2 linked regions of the Neurospora crassa OR74A genome follow. Each later gene encodes a partner of the first gene's protein in a complex. Links are inferred from orthologs where the notes say so. Each region holds a gene or a part of one and is shown in the gene's direction. Other genes may lie near its edges. The genes, in order: NCU06485 and NCU05305.

What was found.
Region 2: NCU06485 (region 1) and NCU05305 share a complex: the UniProt entries of both Saccharomyces cerevisiae proteins name them as parts of the RNA polymerase I (Pol I) complex. The link is inferred for Neurospora crassa OR74A from reciprocal best matches to the Saccharomyces cerevisiae genes RPA49 and RPB5.

The regions. Positions count from the first base shown.
Region 1 is NC_026503.1:1,579,236-1,588,082, reverse strand, and holds NCU06485 (hypothetical protein), read left to right. Parts: upstream 1-3,371; 5' UTR 3,372-3,444; coding exon 3,445-3,598; intron 3,599-3,671; coding exon 3,672-3,997; intron 3,998-4,050; coding exon 4,051-4,881; 3' UTR 4,882-5,405; downstream 5,406-8,847. Other genes in the region: stk-43 (serine/threonine protein kinase-43), read right to left, coding at 1-284, 360-647, 702-748, 802-996, 1,063-1,421, 1,524-1,587; NCU06484 (hypothetical protein), read left to right, coding at 7,836-8,847. UniProt on the Saccharomyces cerevisiae protein: DNA-dependent RNA polymerases catalyze the transcription of DNA into RNA using the four ribonucleoside triphosphates as substrates. Component of RNA polymerase I (Pol I) which synthesizes ribosomal RNA precursors.
Region 2 is NC_026504.1:5,392,614-5,401,262, reverse strand, and holds NCU05305 (DNA-directed RNA polymerase II polypeptide), read left to right. Parts: upstream 1-3,424; 5' UTR 3,425-3,666; coding exon 3,667-3,759; intron 3,760-3,855; coding exon 3,856-3,938; intron 3,939-4,056; coding exon 4,057-4,585; 3' UTR 4,586-5,205; downstream 5,206-8,649. Other genes in the region: NCU05304 (nuclear segregation protein), read right to left, coding at 687-848, 908-2,074, 2,269-2,397; NCU05306 (hypothetical protein), read right to left, coding at 5,526-6,743. UniProt on the Saccharomyces cerevisiae protein: DNA-dependent RNA polymerases catalyze the transcription of DNA into RNA using the four ribonucleoside triphosphates as substrates.

The DNA.
Region 1 (8,847 bases):
TTGCATGGCTTGAGATGTTTTCATCTGGACGGAGGCGGGAGGTTTGAGGGTCAATGGGCTCATTGTCATTGCCGTAGTCTTCATCGCCATCTTGAACAGCAATGTCACAGCCGAGGTCATTGAGGATGATGTTGAGGTAGCGGTCGATTCTGTCTTGGCTGGTAAAATCGAGATGACGAAGATTCGGAAGTTCTTGGAATCCAGAGAAAAGCTGAAGGCAAAGCATCCCAATGGACCAGATGTCGACAGACAATGAATGACCTCGCTCGGAGTTATAGCATTCGCTGAATCAAGCGTTAGCATTGCTCTCAACAATCCAGTGACATATGTCAACCCAGGAGGGGAAGTGCGAAACTCACGGGGCGCGATAGAAGGTTGTTCCAACCTCGGACCTTAATCTTCCACGGTTCGTAACAGCCGAGTCCCCAAAATCGGAGAGAACAAGCCTGTAGGAGACATTTGGCGCTATGGCACAGAGAATATTCTCTGGCTTGATGTCTCGATGTGCGACCCCCTTGTTGTGGATGTAGTCAACAGCATTGAGGGTCTGGCGTATGATCCAGCGTATTTCTAGCTCGGGGAGTGCCCCCTCGCGTGATAGAAGTGAGAAGAGATCGCCACCAGTAGCCAGCTCTGTAAAGATATACCTAGAGATACATTAGTTGCCCAACCCTGCTAGCTGCTCGTGATGAAGGTCTTACACCGAATGCTCTGATTCGAAGGCAGCCTTGATGGAAAGAATATTCGGCTGACGACTTTTGTTAGCTTGATCCATCGTCCCGTGCCCTTTCAATGACTTACGTGATCGAGGTAGCTCAACAGCATTGCCTCCTGCTTGATCCGACGGAGTATCTGGTGTGACCGGGGCCGTCTATCTAAGTTGTGCACTTTGCAAGCCACCTGCTGCCCTGTCAAGACATCTGTGGCTAGGTAGACCACAGCATGGGCACCGTTTCCTAATGTGCGGTCTTCCACAAGGTATCGGTTCTCAAGGAGCTGGATGTTGCTAAGTCAGATCATGGCATGTTTTATTTTCGTCGCACGCCAAGATAACAATAGTACCTTGAGCTCCTCTCGCTGGCGTGCAGTGAGCCGCAAAAACGAAGTTCCCTGCTCGAGCTGAACGAACTTGAAAGTGATGTAAGGATATATGGAGATGACATCCCCATTCTGGAGTAGTCTTCCCGGAGTGATGTCTGGCTTCTTCCCAACGCACTTTTTGTTGAGCAGAGTCCCGTTGGAAGACTGTCGGTCTCGCACAAACACAAGTGATGTATGGCGACCTTCTTCGTCAACAGTGATAGAATACAGCTCAAAGTGGTTTCTTGAGACAGTGGAATCGACAAAGACAACGTCATTATTATCTCGGTCCGTGTCACGACCAATTCTGACTGTCTGGTTTGGCCAGATGTAAAAGCCGCCTGGACTTGCGACACGAAAGTTAGGGAGCACTGGTTGGAGGAGACCAGCGAGGGATACATCACAGTATTCACGATCACTTCAGGGAAATGACAGATACCTACCTCTTGTAGGAGGAGCAGTGCTAGTGTCTTCGAAGGAAACACTTGCCACAGGCGGTTGCGACATATCAAACCAGCTGTCAACACCGAGACACGGAAAACAAAGGATAATGATAATGATAAAGCCGGCAATGTCAACGTTCACTCATGTATGCGTTGATGTCGTCACTTGCGTCCGTAGATAGTGTTGACTATTCATGGCCCACCGTGGCTTTGCGTATTGAGAAGTAGAAGTAGGTAAAGGTTGGGAACGACACTCAGAGTTCAAGATCACAGGACGAGATTGGAAGAGTGAGTTGGTGCCTTGAGGATCGACTCCTCCTTCCCATGTCCAGCTATCGTGAAAATCTTTTTATGCAGACAGGTCGTGCCTTCCTTTGACCTGGACGGGTGCAGCTTGCAAGTGAAGTGAAAGTGCAGTGTCCATTAGTAGGAGCGGGAGGCAGGCTCGCTCGTTGGAGGACGAGACGGGAGTCGATCTCCGAGCCGAGCTTCTGATGCAGTCCAGCTGAAGCTCCCGTCCGTCAGCGGGAGCTTGGGCCACCTAGGGCAAAGGTCGCACCCCGCACGGACCGCATCCAAACAAAGAGCGGCAGGCCTGGGCAATTTGGGCCTGCGTCACCTGACTTACCCCACAGGGCTGCTTGCCCTGGAGCCCTATGAGATAAAAGTTCCCCCTCTCCATTCGCAAGTTGAAACTCTTTCCCATCACCAACAAGCAAAACTCATCTTTAAATCCAAGATGTACGCGCTCCCGCCCCCCAGCATTTGCTTGCCCGCCTACTGACATACAAGCAGTTCAAGATGAGAGCGAAGTGGAGAAAGAAGCGCGTGAGACGCCTTAAGCGCAAGAGAAGAAAGATGAGAGCGAGATCGTAAGTTTCACCATCGGCGCATCGACAGTTGATGCAGCTACAATCGCCACTCAGGAGCATATAAGCTGACTCGATCCCAGCAAATAAACGCCTCGCCTCACTCGACCCAATCAGCTCTTGACATTATCCTCTAAGCCATTAGACAACTTGGGCTCGGTGTCGACTCCTCCCCTCAGCGCGGAATGACGCCACATCGGTCGCTCTGAAACCTTGCGGTGATCAGGCGAACTCAGGGTTCCTACGGAACATGCACCCCTCGGGACATGCTGCACATCAAACTGTGGCACACATAGAACGGAACTGTTTGGTGGCGGATATGGTATTGGCTGGTTGCCTGTCAACTTCATGGTTGAGTAGCAACAAGGTGTTTACGGATCAACGCCGGTGGGAGCAAACTGTCTAGTTTGGAGACGCGAATTCGGGATACCCGTCGCAGCAACAATAAAGGCCGCTTCGCTTCATGATACACTTCTCTGCATCTGTGACAAACGGGACTGCATGTCTTGGATCAATTGTTTCTGTCGACAACATGGTCATCTGCCCTCGAACAGGTGACATGGCATTTGCACACAAAGGGAATACCAATTTTTGCAACATCAGTGAACATTTTCAACGACGGGGAAGGCAGTGGCCTGCATGCACGAGGGCATAGAAATCGCGTCCCAAGCCTTGGTTTGCCTTGTGACTTGGACTGAACCCCTCCATGTCTGGTTGATTGTTTTAGCACGCGTGCGGCTTGCTATTCTTCATCTCTCCAAGCAATTTAACAGCAAACCAATAGCAATTGATTTCATAGCATGAAGATTTCGCGCTTCGTAGTATTTCAACACAAATCATCAAACATATTGCATCGTCGTCATCAAATGTGGTGTGTCGATTGTAAAGGCGGTAACTGATACCGGACCCCGGCAGGCGGCAGAATTTTTTTCTGGCTGCGGGATCCACTCGGAAGTTCAGACAGCGACTCTCCAGCTGCATGATCCATTTGATTTGGCGGGACTTCACGACTCTACACTACCCCAGCACCTTTGTAGCCCGCAAACACCACCATGGGAAGCTCATCAGACAAGAAGCGCAAGAGCGCTGAGGATACAACACCCCAAATCAAGAAGAAGAAGGTCGACTCCGAGAAATCGTCCAAGTCGCCCAAGTTCATCAATGTCGGAGCTGTGAAGAGGCCGCAGTATGCGCCTCCGGTCGTGGGTAAGCACATGTTGATCGGCTGAAACCATGGCCGTCAAGTCCAATGGAGGAAGACTCTAACATGCGCTCCTAGCCGCGACCTCGGGACTCGCTCTCTCTTCGTCCATACAATTTCAAGCCTACGCCACACCAGCCGACAAGACCTCGAAGCGCAAGAAGAATGGCGCGCCCGCACAAGAGTTGCTGCTGCACTCTGCCAACCACCGGACGATGGACTACACAGCTCGCGAAGATAGGACAGGAGACTCGTCCGACCCATACCTGAAGCACTACATTGGCATCTTCAACCCCAAAACCGCCGAGGTTGAGATTGTAGAGGCGCGCAAGATGGTGCTCCGTGGCACAGTTAGGTCGCAGAAGGCGGTTGACGAGGCAATGGAAGAGAAGACTCAGAAACAGGTAAGCCTGGAAGTAGTGGTCAGGGGCATAAAACCAGACTGACGGTGCAACAGCAAATGATGGCCATGAGGAACGAGCTCGGCGAGGCATTCGGTACTAAGAAGGCGAAGAAGGCGATCCGCGACGTGACGGAGAACGCCATTACATCTCAAAAGGTTGGCCAGAGCGAGCTGGTGATGATGGACGCCATCAAGACCGCCACCAAGGACATGTCGACCAAGGAAGACCTTCAAGCCGCTGTCGACAACGCCCGACCGGTACCGCGCGGCAACTTCAATGCCGATGAAATCGCAGACGTCTACGTACCATCCCAAATTATCGGATCCGAGGTCCTGAACGCGATACCAGTGATGGATTGGCAGGAGAGCGTCAAGAACCTAGAAGACATCCAGGTACCTTCGCGCTTTGTCGCCAAGCGCGTTTCCAACGTAGCAAGCAGCGACGACGCGGTGCACAGATTGAGGGTACTGCGGTACCTCTTGTTCGTCATCATTTTCTGGAATGCCACCTCGCAAGGAAGGGAGCGTGGCACAAGAAGCATTGGTAAGAGGGATAAGCTGCGCGAGGTTATGGCACCAGCGCCCGAGATCGTGATTGAAAACATCCGCCGCAAGTTCTCGGACGGCGGAGTCATGCGCAAGACACACGTTGACCTTCTGATGACGCACTGCTGCGCATTTGCCGCCATCATCGACGGCTTCAGGGTCAACACGATTGACTTGAGAGAAGATCTGAAGCTGGAGCAGAAGCAGCTCAACCAATACTTTATCGAGATTGGAGCTCGCGTCAAGCAACAGAAGGTCGCTGACAAGATGGAGAACTTTGCCGTCCTGCAACTGCCTCTTCAGTTTCCCAAGATCAGACTGCCGGCACGGAAGAGGTAAACCACGCTTTGCTGAGCCGGACCCACGGCCACGGATCATATCATCAAGTTTAGTTGGATTGTGCGCATTGCACATCATCCACCCAGTCCTACATTGGACATCTTGGCGCTTACGTTTGGAAGTACCCTACGAAGTGCTGAGAAAAGGCATGCTTTTTGCGAGAGAAGCGATCATCCAGCTCAGTTGGAAGTCTGGCCGCTTCCAGCCTGTAACCACCATGGTGTGTTGTTGAGACACACCCAAGCGACACCCAGGCGCTGGCCAATCAAAATTCCAAGCGCCTAATCGAGAGGAGGCCATGACCTGTACCGCACTATTTGAGCATCTTGCCGAGGTATACATCAGTTATTTTGTGGTTCGGGCAGTAAAAGCTAGGCTAGAAAGCATATATCATTGTATAGACAATGTAGAGAATAGTCATGGAAATTGATGGGCCATAAGAAGTATGGCGGGAAGCTTGTCCCTCAGTCTTTATCAAGCTCTGAATGGGGTCAAAGAGATGACATTGAAATCTAGGAAAAGGGTCACCCCACAAAAAGCTGGCCCCCCTGGGTTCTGGTTCTCAAGTGCCTCAACGCTTGGCCAACCCCTTTGTGTTTGTTTACTACTGATATCCGCACGGACCCAATAACGAAGATGGGAACTGATGACGGGCTTCGAGATGAGTAATGGGGCAGAGATGATCATTAACCTGAACCAGCTAACGCCAGTTGATGTGCAAAATCAGAACCACGAACGTCAAGCTAACATATGTAACAGGAAGAATGTCCGCGGCAAATCCTACGCAGATATCAGAGCAGCCGACGGCCAGGCTAGAAGAAAACAAGATGAAAAGGTAGTTATATGGCTGCCCTGGATGGGCATCCGCCCAGGCGTCACCTTCTACCGTTGTCCCCTTTCGCTGGCCGCTGGCCGCTGGCCGCCCCGCGGTGTGAGACGCCGTCGGTGGTAGGTAGGGCTGGGCCGAAGCCGATCACCCCACGATGAAGTTCCTTCCCCTTGTGCCTCCCCAAAGCGTCCCCGACTTTGTCCGTCCTCCCCGTTTCCCCTGGCCCATTGCCTTGACCATCCCATCGTCCGTGTGCCGGCCGCTGCTTGTGCTTCCCCTCGCTCCAGTCCAGTCCCCTTAAGTTGGACCCCTTGGCGTTGTGCAGAGTGAAGGCGCTTGAGCCGCATTCGAAAGCCACGTGGGGAAAATCCCCACCGAGCGACCAGAGCCAGTGCAGTTTTCCTCACCGGCACCCACCCCGACCAGCTTAAATGGTATGACGACATTGCCTCTTTTAAAGAGCTTTTGGGATCTTCAACTGAGACGCGTCTCACTCTCAACGACCATTTTCCACAGATTATTTTGCTCTCTAAATTGCGGCTTCAATTTTGCATTTACACACTCAATGCACCTTTCCCAATGCTGTCTGATGTCTCTGCTTTCAATCTGAGCAGCCATTCTCTGCAATTTTGTGTTGGTGACAGCGACAATACGAGTGCTCAATTCACGACGCGTCAAAGTTGGGTCGACGGGCGAATTGTCGGGGCAGGGGGTACTTTGCGATTTTTTCTGAGGTGATTCGCAATGCCGGGGCTGGTGCCTGCAGCGCATGGACCAGCTTTTGTGGTCTCTGGGCGTGCTGATTGGCCAGGACGGTGCCAACCAGCGCCTTTCTTCCAGTTCCAGTTTCATTCCAGTTCACAGTTCCGCGAACGACCTACCTGGTAATGAAGGGAACGAACGCGACCGACCGACCGCTGACTGTCCACCTTCTTGCCTCCCGTCTGCCGCACCCCAGGCAGCTCACCACGCTCATTCACTCACCACCTCAACTCCAGTGACACTTCTTTCACGCCAGTCCTAGGTAGTCTTTGCCCCTGCTTCTGGCCTCCCTCCCGTCCTGCCTTCCTTCTGCACAACCTACCTACAATTCACGGCATCTGACCGACTGCACTCGATATCTCCCGCCGAGGTGAAGCTACTTATCCATCCAGCTTCGCGACTTTCAACTATAACGACTGGAGTTTGCTTCAAGTCCTCTCCTCTCGGGAAGTTATGCGCGCGCGCGAGAGGATTTGCACCACACTGCTGCCTCCCTTCACTACTACAACCTCTACATAACATACTAGCTCGGCACCAAGACCGGCACCGCAGTCCGACTTCAACTCCCCAGCGAGCAGTCTAGTCTAGTGCCGGGCGTGTGTTCGCGTGTGTGTGCGTGTCTGCTGCCGTGTGTGTGTGTGTGTATGCATATTGCATTACCCAAAGAAAAAAAAAAAGAAGCATCGTCGCATCAGTCGTCGCATTCTACCAAATCCTCCTACCTGCCCAGTGCCTCTCCTAGATGCCCTTCGACTCTCTGTCTGGCTCTACCTCAATTGCGCCCTTGGATAGGTTTTGCTCTGTCCAAACCTCAAGGCAACTTCGACCTGAACTAAAGTGCTCCGTCGATGCAGCGGTACATCCCACCTCCTGTTAGTCGTCAACCTGACAGCAAGGTGAGAGCCGACCGAGTGTTGACCCAATTTCACCCCCCCACGGCACCTAGGTCCATACCAGACAGAACATAAATCTGTATGTGGCTCTCTTTTTTTCTGGTTGTTCAGTTGCCTCTTTCCATCCCGTCCCTTTGCTCCCACTTCCCATTGCTTCCCTTGACCTGTTGACGCATCCTGTTTTGCTCTGCACGGCACACACGGACCTAACACGACTTATTCATGCAGGCTGCTAGATATTGAATAGCTGTTATCAATAAACATCGCATCGAAATAGCCAGTCGCAAGCTCAACAATTCACCAACCGCTAGCTTTTTGCCCCCATTCTCGCCATCGGACGGAATAGGCACCCCATCGGAATCCACCCTACTATTGTCCACCACCAACCCCAGTCCTATTCAGAGCTATTCGTTGCAGCACTTATTGGACCACATTATACCTAGCCGTTTTGCCCCCACCAACAATCTGCTATGTCTAAGCGTAAAAAGGACTTTCTCACGGATTTCGACCCTAACAAATCCGATCCCGAAGACGAAAACTTCGACCCCATTGCCGAAAAGCAACGAACCCCGCGAAGTGCAAGGAAGCAAGCAAACACCCGCCGCCCAAAGAACCGAGGCGCTGCTGGCGGCGCGCGCAGGCGGAACAGCCGATACAAAGGATCCGACATCGAAGACGACGAAGATATCAGCGACAGCGAACAAGACATCTCTTTCGGTGAAGAGGAAGACGAGGAAGAAGAAGAAGACTCGGACGCTCCTGTCAACGCTACGGGCAGGCGGATGCGCCAGGCTGCCGCACGACACCAATCGTACAGGGAAAGCAGTGAAGACGAAGACGGGATCCAGTCGTCTGACCAAGACAAAGACGTCGTCCAGGAGCCCGACGAAGAACATAGAGTGCCTTCGATAGAGTCTCCTGAACAGAGTCCCAGCAAAAAGAAGTCTCGCATCGTTGTGCTGAGTGTCAAAAAAGGCGCCAAGCCAAGCTCACAACGACCAAGACGTGGCGCTGCTGCCAAAGAACCAGCAACCATGGTTCCCCCGACCCGCCGCTCTACGAGAGCCCGCACGGAAGAGACGGACGAGCCATTGCTCGAGCTGTCCAACTCGGGAAGACATACCCGCGTCACCCGCGCATCAACAAGAAGTAAAAGCCCGGAAGCCTTGACCCACGCCACCAGAGCTACCCGTGGTTCCAAGGGTGTTAAGAAACAACAACCTCCACCCATTCCCGAAGCCTCGCATGAGGAAGATGACGACGAATTCAAGGTCGAGACGGATATACCCAATGCTGACGATGTGGACGAGCTGGCCGGTCAGGCGAACATGGTCGATGCGCCCGCTGACCATCCAGACGAACACCAAGAGGGAAGGGCTGAACAGGTGGCCGAGGAAGGAGCTGCCCAACAGGTTAGCGAAGAACAACCTGCACAGACCGAGAGCCAGCCAGCAGCAGAAGACGCAGACGGTGACGACGAAG
Region 2 (8,649 bases), on another chromosome or scaffold:
AGGAGGAGGTATGGAAGTGCGAGTGTGGAAGATGGGTATCAATGTCCCTCTTGTTTTCCACTCTCGTATCTAAGCTATCCCAAGAGTCCTTTTCACATGTTCCCGCCAGTCTCTTCCACTCCCACACCTGGCCGTGCTTTGTTTCGGGGCCTGCGATACCTCAGTTTGCGTGCTGTCCTTCGTTTTTCGATTCCCTTATGTTCACCAACCACCAGAAACATCACCTCGATACCTTATACGTTAGGGAGCAGGTTCGGACGAGTCCAGCTATTAAAGTCTTTTGCGTGTGAAGGTGAGGTTGAGTTAAGAATGCCACCCCGTATTTTGAATTCCCGAACATTTCCCCCCTTTTCTGTACCCCAAAAAGCATGCTAACAACATTTGATGGAACAGACCAGGGTGGTGATAACTGAAGAGACCAACCACTAAGGCAAAAAAAAGGATGAATATCGGCGATATATATGCGAATGATAATGTGCCGGGATAGATGCGCACAACATCTGACACGGCTGTGACGTCGTTGTGGGCAACGGACGGTAGTGGTAGGGATGAAAAAGAGGGATGACAGGACCCAAATACCCGCTTAACCTGGCAACCTGAACCTCGTCGGAGTCCTGGTCCCCCTCAAATCATGGCTTCCCAAATGTCAGAGAACGAGACGATCCGTGACGTCGATGGCGGCGCTTCTATGCGGAAGCCTCGACAGCCTCAGTCTTCTCTTCAATGGTGGCGTTCTTGACGCCCTCGGTGACCTCCTCGACGGCCTTCTTGGGGGTGGCAGAGCCGGAAGCCTCACCGGCCTCCTCAGCCTCGAGGCGCTCAATCTCCTTCTTGGCCTTCTCAATGTTCTGCAAGCGGCATTGTTAGCAACGGCTAGTTCAACAGGAACGAAACAATATCAACATACCTTGCGAGTCTGCTCAGGCTGGTCAGCCTTCCACTGCTCGAGCTTGGCCTTGATCTTCTCGACGGCAGCAGGGATATCGGTAGCAGCCATGGGGGGCTCGACACCGACGAAGCTGCAGTCCTCAATGACCGAGGGAGGGAGGCTGAAGGTCTTGCCGGTGGCGACAGGGGCAGCACCGGTGGGCTTCTTGGACTTCTTGCCCTTCTTGACGGCAGGGAGGTAGTCGTCATCACGCTCCTCCTTGCGGACGAGCTTCATGCCCTTGAGGCCAGAGTCGTCAACCTTACGAAGAGCCTGGGCACCGAGACCCTTGTCGGCCAGGAGAGGAGCCTTCTCGGCGACCTCGTGGCTGGGGTCGAAGTACTTGAGGAGAGAGTTGGCACGGCGGATCTCCTCGAGGTAGGCGGGGTCAGAAGCCTCGGCAAGCATCTTCTGGGCACGCTCCATGCGGCGCTCCTTGGCGATGCGCTCACGCTCGGCCTGCTGTCTCTCGCGAGCCTTCTCGCGCTGCTCACGCTCCCACTTGGCGAACTCCTTCTTAGCGCCGTAGTACTCATCCTTGAGCTTCTTGATGGCCTGGTACTTTTCAGACTGGAGCTGCTGGAGCTTGGTGCGCTCGTCGCGCAGGCTGGAGAGGTTCTTGTAGGCCTCGTCCTGCTCGGCCTTGATGGCGTCAAGCTCGGCCTGGAGCTTGTTGTACTTTTCGCTGAGGGCCTTGGCCTCGGGGTCCTCCAAGCTGTCCTTGATCTCCTTGATCTTGGCCTTGAGGTCGTCGATCTGCTTCTGGGCATCGTCGAAGCCAGCAAAGCTCTTGCGCTGCTTGCGGAGGTTGGAGATCTCGGCGAGGGCCTTCTTCTCGTCGACGAGCTTCATCATGCCGCCGTTGACCTCCTTCTCCAGGCGCTCAATCTCGCGGTCGAGTTCCTCGGTGGACTTGAAGTTGACCTTGCTGCGGGCAGTCTTTTGCTCGGCAATGCGGCTGCGGAGCTGCTCATCGAGGCGCTTGATCTGGTCGAGCTTGGAGGTGCGGGCATTCTTGCCACCGGCCTGCTGCTGACGGATCTCGTTGAGCTGGGAGATGAGCTCCTGGCGCTTCTTCTGGGTGGGGCTGGGCTGGTCCTTGTTCTTGCTAGGAGCGGCGAGCTCAACCTTGGCCTTGATCTCGTTCTGGATTCAAGGACAATTGGTTAGTCTGGCCTTGTCACATGGCAATTGGAGGCAGCAGCTTCTAGTAGCAAAAGACGTGGTGGTGGTGAGGGTGGCGTGGACGGCAGGGTGCATCGTGAGTGCGAGGGCGGGTGCTCTGACTCCACGGTATCGGGTAGATGCGCTCTTGGTAGCGGCCAGGGCAGGGGACTCACGTATTTCTTCAGGGCCTCCTGATACTCCTTCTCGGCCTTGGCGAGGTTCTCGTTGAAGGCATCCTGATCAGGCTTGTGAGGCTTGGTGGTGGCCGCAGGGGCGGCAGCGGGGGATTGCGACTCGGCCATTGTGTGTGGTGTTGGGGGTTGCTGAAGGAAAAAAAGAAGAAGGAAGAAGAGACGAAAGGAAGGGAATAGTAAGATAAAGACGGGGAAGGGGGACTAGGCAACCGGGGGGCGTGGGTCGGAGCCGGTGGGTAGGTTGGTTGGAGAGCTACTTAGTGTAGAACAGCCGCGGGCGACCTGAGGAAGGATGGGAAGTGGAAGGCAGTGCACGTCCGAGGACCGCTGTTCGGGTCCTGTAGGATAGGATGTACCTCTGGGGTAATCGCTGCTTTGAGATGTGGTTATGTGGATGTGTAGTGGAAGATGGGGTCCAGACTGCCCTGGGGAGAACAATGGCTAGGTAGTGCGGGTGCTGTCAATGCCTGATCTGTTTTGCCCGCATCCAAATTGACAATTGAACGGGAACTAACCTAACTTTGGTCACTTTGAACCCTCAATTCACAGTCCCGTCGCCAGTTCCAAAAAATTCCAAAATTTGTCCCGCTTCAGGCGTGTTCCAGATCTGCAGATCGTGGCCTTTCCCCGACACCGTGTCACGCGTGTCACCGTCTTGGCCTGTGCGCTACTACCTACCCTACCAAGTACATATGGTGCGCTGGTTGGTTGGTTGGTTGGTTGGTTGGTTGGTTGGAGGATGATGATGATAGGTTGAATTGGCTCTTCACTAAGTTCACTTCACTTTGCCCAGCAATGTCCCTCATGGAACATATATGGATCATGGAAGAGGTTTATATAGGTAGTTGGCCGAGGAGAATTAATTTTGTGTACTATCATGTATGTACCGGAAACGCAACTTGAAGTGTATGTCCGCTTTTCCAGTCATGCATAAAACCAGCGCACGCCATCACTGTTCCTCCTAGGTCTTTCACGACTTCAACAAACTGCCTGCCTGAATCAGAAGCCGGTCAACGGTCAACAGCACAGACCATCTGCGCGCTTACTTGTAGTGTCTCACAGGGGTGAAGGCAGCCTCCGGCTCACTGTGGACCCATCCATCTCTTATCGGCCGGCGTGGAATCCTGGAGTGCCCGGGCGTTAGGTCTGATCAATGCGGCCACGCCTCTGGTTTTCGGCGACACCCACCCTTCCCGCAATTTTTTGAGAGCCTTTGTCCTTCAGCCTCGTAAACAGGAAAGTCCTCCAAGCTATCAATCCACCAACACGCCATCCACCATCGCGAACCACCACCTCACCTGCGCAACCTCCACATCACCACCACTCCGCGACGACAAACACTACACTTCAATCGACTGCCCAACACACACAGTCAAAATGGAGGACGACAGCAGCCCCACCAGTGCCTCCAAGGAAGTCTCCCGTCTGTGGAGGGCCTGGAGGACTGTTCACGAGATGGTTCAGGACAGGGTACGCCATCCATCCTTATCACGGCGCTTGCTCGACGCGCCATCGCCCAGAATGATTCGACCTATTCTGACATGTACATGTGCTTCTCGACTATAGGGCTACGAGTTGGCGGAAGACGAAGTCAAGATCTCGCTCGAGCGGTTCAAGGCTGAATACACGAACGAGGATGGAACACCAAAGTGAGTTCCTGCGTCGGCACCCATCACCCCTCCATCACCACCACTTTACGCGTCGCATTTCAAACCTCAAACCACTATCACCTCCCCACCAGACTAACATGACGACACCAAACCACAGCCGCGCCAAGCTCCAATTCTCCGCCCGCCCCTCGGAAGCCATGATCAAAAAGTTCACCGCCCCTCCCACGCCCTCCAACCCCAACCCCGTTCCCGAATGCGGCACCATCTGGGTCGAGTTCTGCACCGAAAAGGGCTCCATCGGCGTGTCCGTCATGAAGAAATTTGTCACCCACTGCTCCGACAACAAGTTCAAAGCCGGCATCTTCATCACCGCCGTCCCGCTTTCTGCCCAGGCCCGCAAGGTCATGTCCGTCACCTCGCAGTACACACAGGTCGAGTGCTTCCTGGAGGAGGACCTGCTGGTCAACATCACGCACCACGAGCTCGTGCCCAAGCACGTGTTGCTGTCCAAGGAGGAGAAGGCCGCGCTCCTCAAGCGGTACCGACTCAAGGAGACGCAGCTGCCGAGAATTCTGAGCAAGGATCCGATTGCGCGGTATCTGGGACTCAAGAGGGGCCAGGTCGTCAAGATCATTCGTGTGTCGGAGACGGCGGGTCGCTATGCTTCTTACAGGCTTTGCGTATAAGGGGGGCAAGCGTGTGTGCGTGAGAGAAGGGGGTGGTTGCGTGCGGTTGGCAAAGCTGGGCTGGCTGGCTGGCTGGCTGGCTGGAGGGCACTACACCAATCCATCCAATCTCTCCCCAGGCTTGATTTGTTCTCTGGACGGTCTTCGACGGGCCAACGCGGGTCTGGCTGGTGGGAATCAGTTGATGACTATATGGACGAGGACTGGATAAGAAGCCTTGGGAAGGGGACGATGACGGCCAGCAGCGAAGCAAGAAAGAAGTGAAAGCACGGCAGCCACCAGCGGGACAGGGAGGAAGGGGTTAGGGGTTCGGTTGTGTAATACAAAACACTTGGGCGTTTTTCTTTTTCTTAACTATTCTAGCATCATGGGGGATACAGGGAAATCAGTTTCTGTTCTTTCGAATTCAAAAGAGGACAAAGAAAGAAAGGCGTTACGGAGTGGCTTTTGTACTAAGTAGCTTGAGATATATACCGACAAGAGAATATCCGAGCTATCATTATGAAATTTTGAGACAAGAGAGATTAGAGCAGTTGGGTACTGTGTTTGCTAATGGGTATATTCACCACGGAGTCTACTATATTAGAGTGCTTATCTGAGCTAGAAGTAGCCCCTGGCTGAATCATCAACATTCAGGTGTTTGGATGCTGACTGAAAGAAAGTTTCGTCAATCCCTTTTGAAATCGGGCATGAGATATCAGAGTTATTGAGCTGTTGATTCGATTGCTCAAGAGTTACTCAGTGACTGGTGACATTGTATTGACCAATACAGAACTATACGCAGCCTCTACCATAAAGTCAAGACACTTATCCTCCAACACTGTAATCCGTTTGTTACATGGCATGTTGACTGTTCAATTATTCATTCATTCCTCTGTTAATACACACCTAAAAGACTCACTCAAGTCCAAATCACGAACCAATCCCAATCCCAATCCCTCTAAGGCCAAACCTCAACCTTCTCCCACTCCCCCTGCACCTCCCCGCCCGCCTCCTTCGCATGATAACTATTTCCCCTCCACAAATACAACCACCGCCTCGCCCTCTTCGCATCCGACAAATCCACCTGATCCACCTCGGTCGGCACAATCACCACCACCCTGAAATTCTTTCTGGCTACCTCATCCTGCAAATCCACCACCTCCTGGCCCAACCCCTCCCCTTTTCCAGGGGGGAACGCCACCGGCTGTCCCGGCGGCGGCCCGCGAAACGTGCCCCTCATGACCGGATTCAAATTTCCAAAATGCGCCGTAACCTCCCTGCTCCAGCTCCATTGCTCCTCATCCTCCTGTGTCTTGCCCTCCAGTCTGCGCATCCGCTGCCGCAACACCTCCCGCACCTTCTTGGCCCCTTCACTGTCCACGTCCGGCCCCAAAAGCCAGGCTGATCCACGGATCCGCCACTGCGTCATCACTTTTTTGTCTTCTCCTGTTTGGGCGTCTTTAGCCTTCTCAATCCAAAATACGGCCTCAACGGGCCCCCCGCCGCCCGTCATCTCCCCGCCCGCTTCGATCCGCTCTTCCGAGGCCGTGTCGACGATCTCGGCGGCTTTTTCCATGCGGGCGTCCGTGGTGAAGGCGATCATGTCGCTTTCGAACACGCCGGGAGGGTTCAGCTCGGCGGGGTTGTGCGGGTTGGCTTCGAGTTGGGCCCAGAGACTGCGGCAGACGCAGGTGCGGGCGCGGGGGAGGACGGGGATGGTGGAGGAGACGGGGGTCGGGGTCGAGGTGGAGGATAAGGAAGGGGGTAAAGGGTGGAGGGTGGAGAGAACGAAGGTGCGAGAGGAGGGAGGGAGGGAGGTTAGGTGGGAGAGAAAGGGGGCGCGCCAGGGGGGTGGGGTGGAGGGGAGTGGTTGGCGGTTGGATTGTTGAGGGGTGGAGGTGGACATTTTGGTGGCGGTTGTTGAGGAGGGGGTTGAGGTGGTTGAAGTAGTGCCGGTGAGGCAGCGGTTGATGGATGGTGGTTTGGTGTAGCGCGGTGGTGATGTTTTGGAGATCTTCTGGTCGAGATTGGTAGCTGTTGCGGGAAGCCTTGGGACTTTGGTCGACAGAGAACGAAAGATGATGGTAGAGAGTCTCTGGGAATGCGGTGATGATTTCTGACAACAGCTGTTGGTAATGTTGAGCTTCAACTTGATGACGGGCAGTCTACTAGCCATTCATCGATGACGTCCGTGATTGGAAACAGGTGGGCGTTGAGCGAGGTTGCTCGGTGGAAGGAAGTCTGCCCCTCGTATGTTGACGTTGCCAGTGATGCTGGTTAATTGGAGGTCGAATGGGTGAACTGAAAGGCAGACGCAATGTTGATTTGAGATGTCCAGAAGAAGGAGCAAGTTATTGGAAGGAATGAAGAGGGTTGATGTAGGGCAACAGCTACAGTAGTGCCTCTATGATGACGGCTGCATGTCTGACCCCACGCTGCGATGACGGAGTCGATCGGGCCCGGGCCTACCCCGCTGTTTACTTGCTCCATTCGTCAACAGCCATCAAGGTGTTTGCTCGTTTGGAACAAACTGAAACCTTCCTATCACTGGTAGTATCCGAATAGGATATTGATTGCAAAAACAGCTTGGAATTATTGCAAGGACCTGGGAGAGAAAGCCAGGGACACAGCATATACTCTGCTCTCCAAGAAGCACGTCAGTCTCCTTCTGCTAAGGAACGGCCCGGTGCTAGTTCTTACTTGCACTCTTGGTGTAGCCACGCTATGGTACCCAATCGGATGAACTGAGCCTCCAACACGTTTCAGGAAAGGTTTCTCGAAGAGGTTGATAGTTTTGAAATTCTTCAGATGTATGCCAAGGAGGAAGAATTATGGTGTTCTCTTTTGACCGCGCGACTAGCGGACGTTCTTGCTATGATCACCTCTGGACCAATCATGTGTTGTGTTCGCTAACAATTTATATAATTTGTACAGGAAATCCTACCCTCTCACACCTAAGCATCCAAGCAGAAAGCTATATATTGTACAATGCTGCCTTGGCGAAAAGTTGTCCATTAGTCCAGGTCCATGGGATACGGTTGGATATTGGTCGTCGTCTATTTCAGGGACTCTAAAATCTCAGATTTACCGGACAACATCATCGTAGCTTTCGAAATTCTACAGGAGCATTTGCCAGAGACCTACATGGAAGTAAATATGGTTCAACAGTATGGGCCAAGTTAACGGGTATGGTTGGACATGGATGATGGCCTTTCGCGAGTAACCAATTCGATCTACCGCGGACGTCGAGTTGTTGGTTCGTTAGAGTTGATATCTGCCGAGAGACTTCATGTGCAGTGAGCTCATCGACGCCAGATATACAAAAGAATGGCACACTGACCATGGAATCGTCACCCAACAGTGGTACTTTCGAGTCTGAACCATCCAAGGATTATAACTATATAACTGGTCAGAAAGTGCAGTGACCGACCACCATCATGCTTCACCTTAACGTCGGACACTACGTATAACTAATTGTTTTTTTCCCCTCCTTTTCCACAACACAACCAAAAGCGCTTCTACTTATATCAGCTACTTTTTTCTCTTCCTGTAAACACACCGTCACAAACCGTTCACATATATTTATCCGTTACCTACCTTAGTTCACCAACCCCTCGTCTCCAACCGGGCCGTCACTTCCCGTCCCGTCACCACCCGTCGTCACCAACAATCACATGCATGTACATATGTATGTGGTTGTGATTACCCCCCCCATCCCGGGTACCACCACTTGAATGCATCTGATTCTGTACACAGTAACTATACACACCAACAAAGCAATTTGATTCGTCAGGGTACGTGTGTGTGTGTGTGTGTGTGTGCGCGTAGTGTACATAGTGTACATATGAGATGCAAGCAAGCGAATGCGTGGGTGGTGGGGGAAGTGACATTTTAATTTGAGGGGGAAATGCCCCCCCCGAGATATGTACACCTATGTATGTAAATTCTCCTATGTGGGCAGGTGATGATGATGATGATGATGATGATGTTACCTTGTGGTAGTAGTACTAACTTTGCAATTTTGCTTTTCCAGTGTTTGGTATGTACCAGAGGTCTAGATCGTTGAGTTGTCCGGTCCCGGT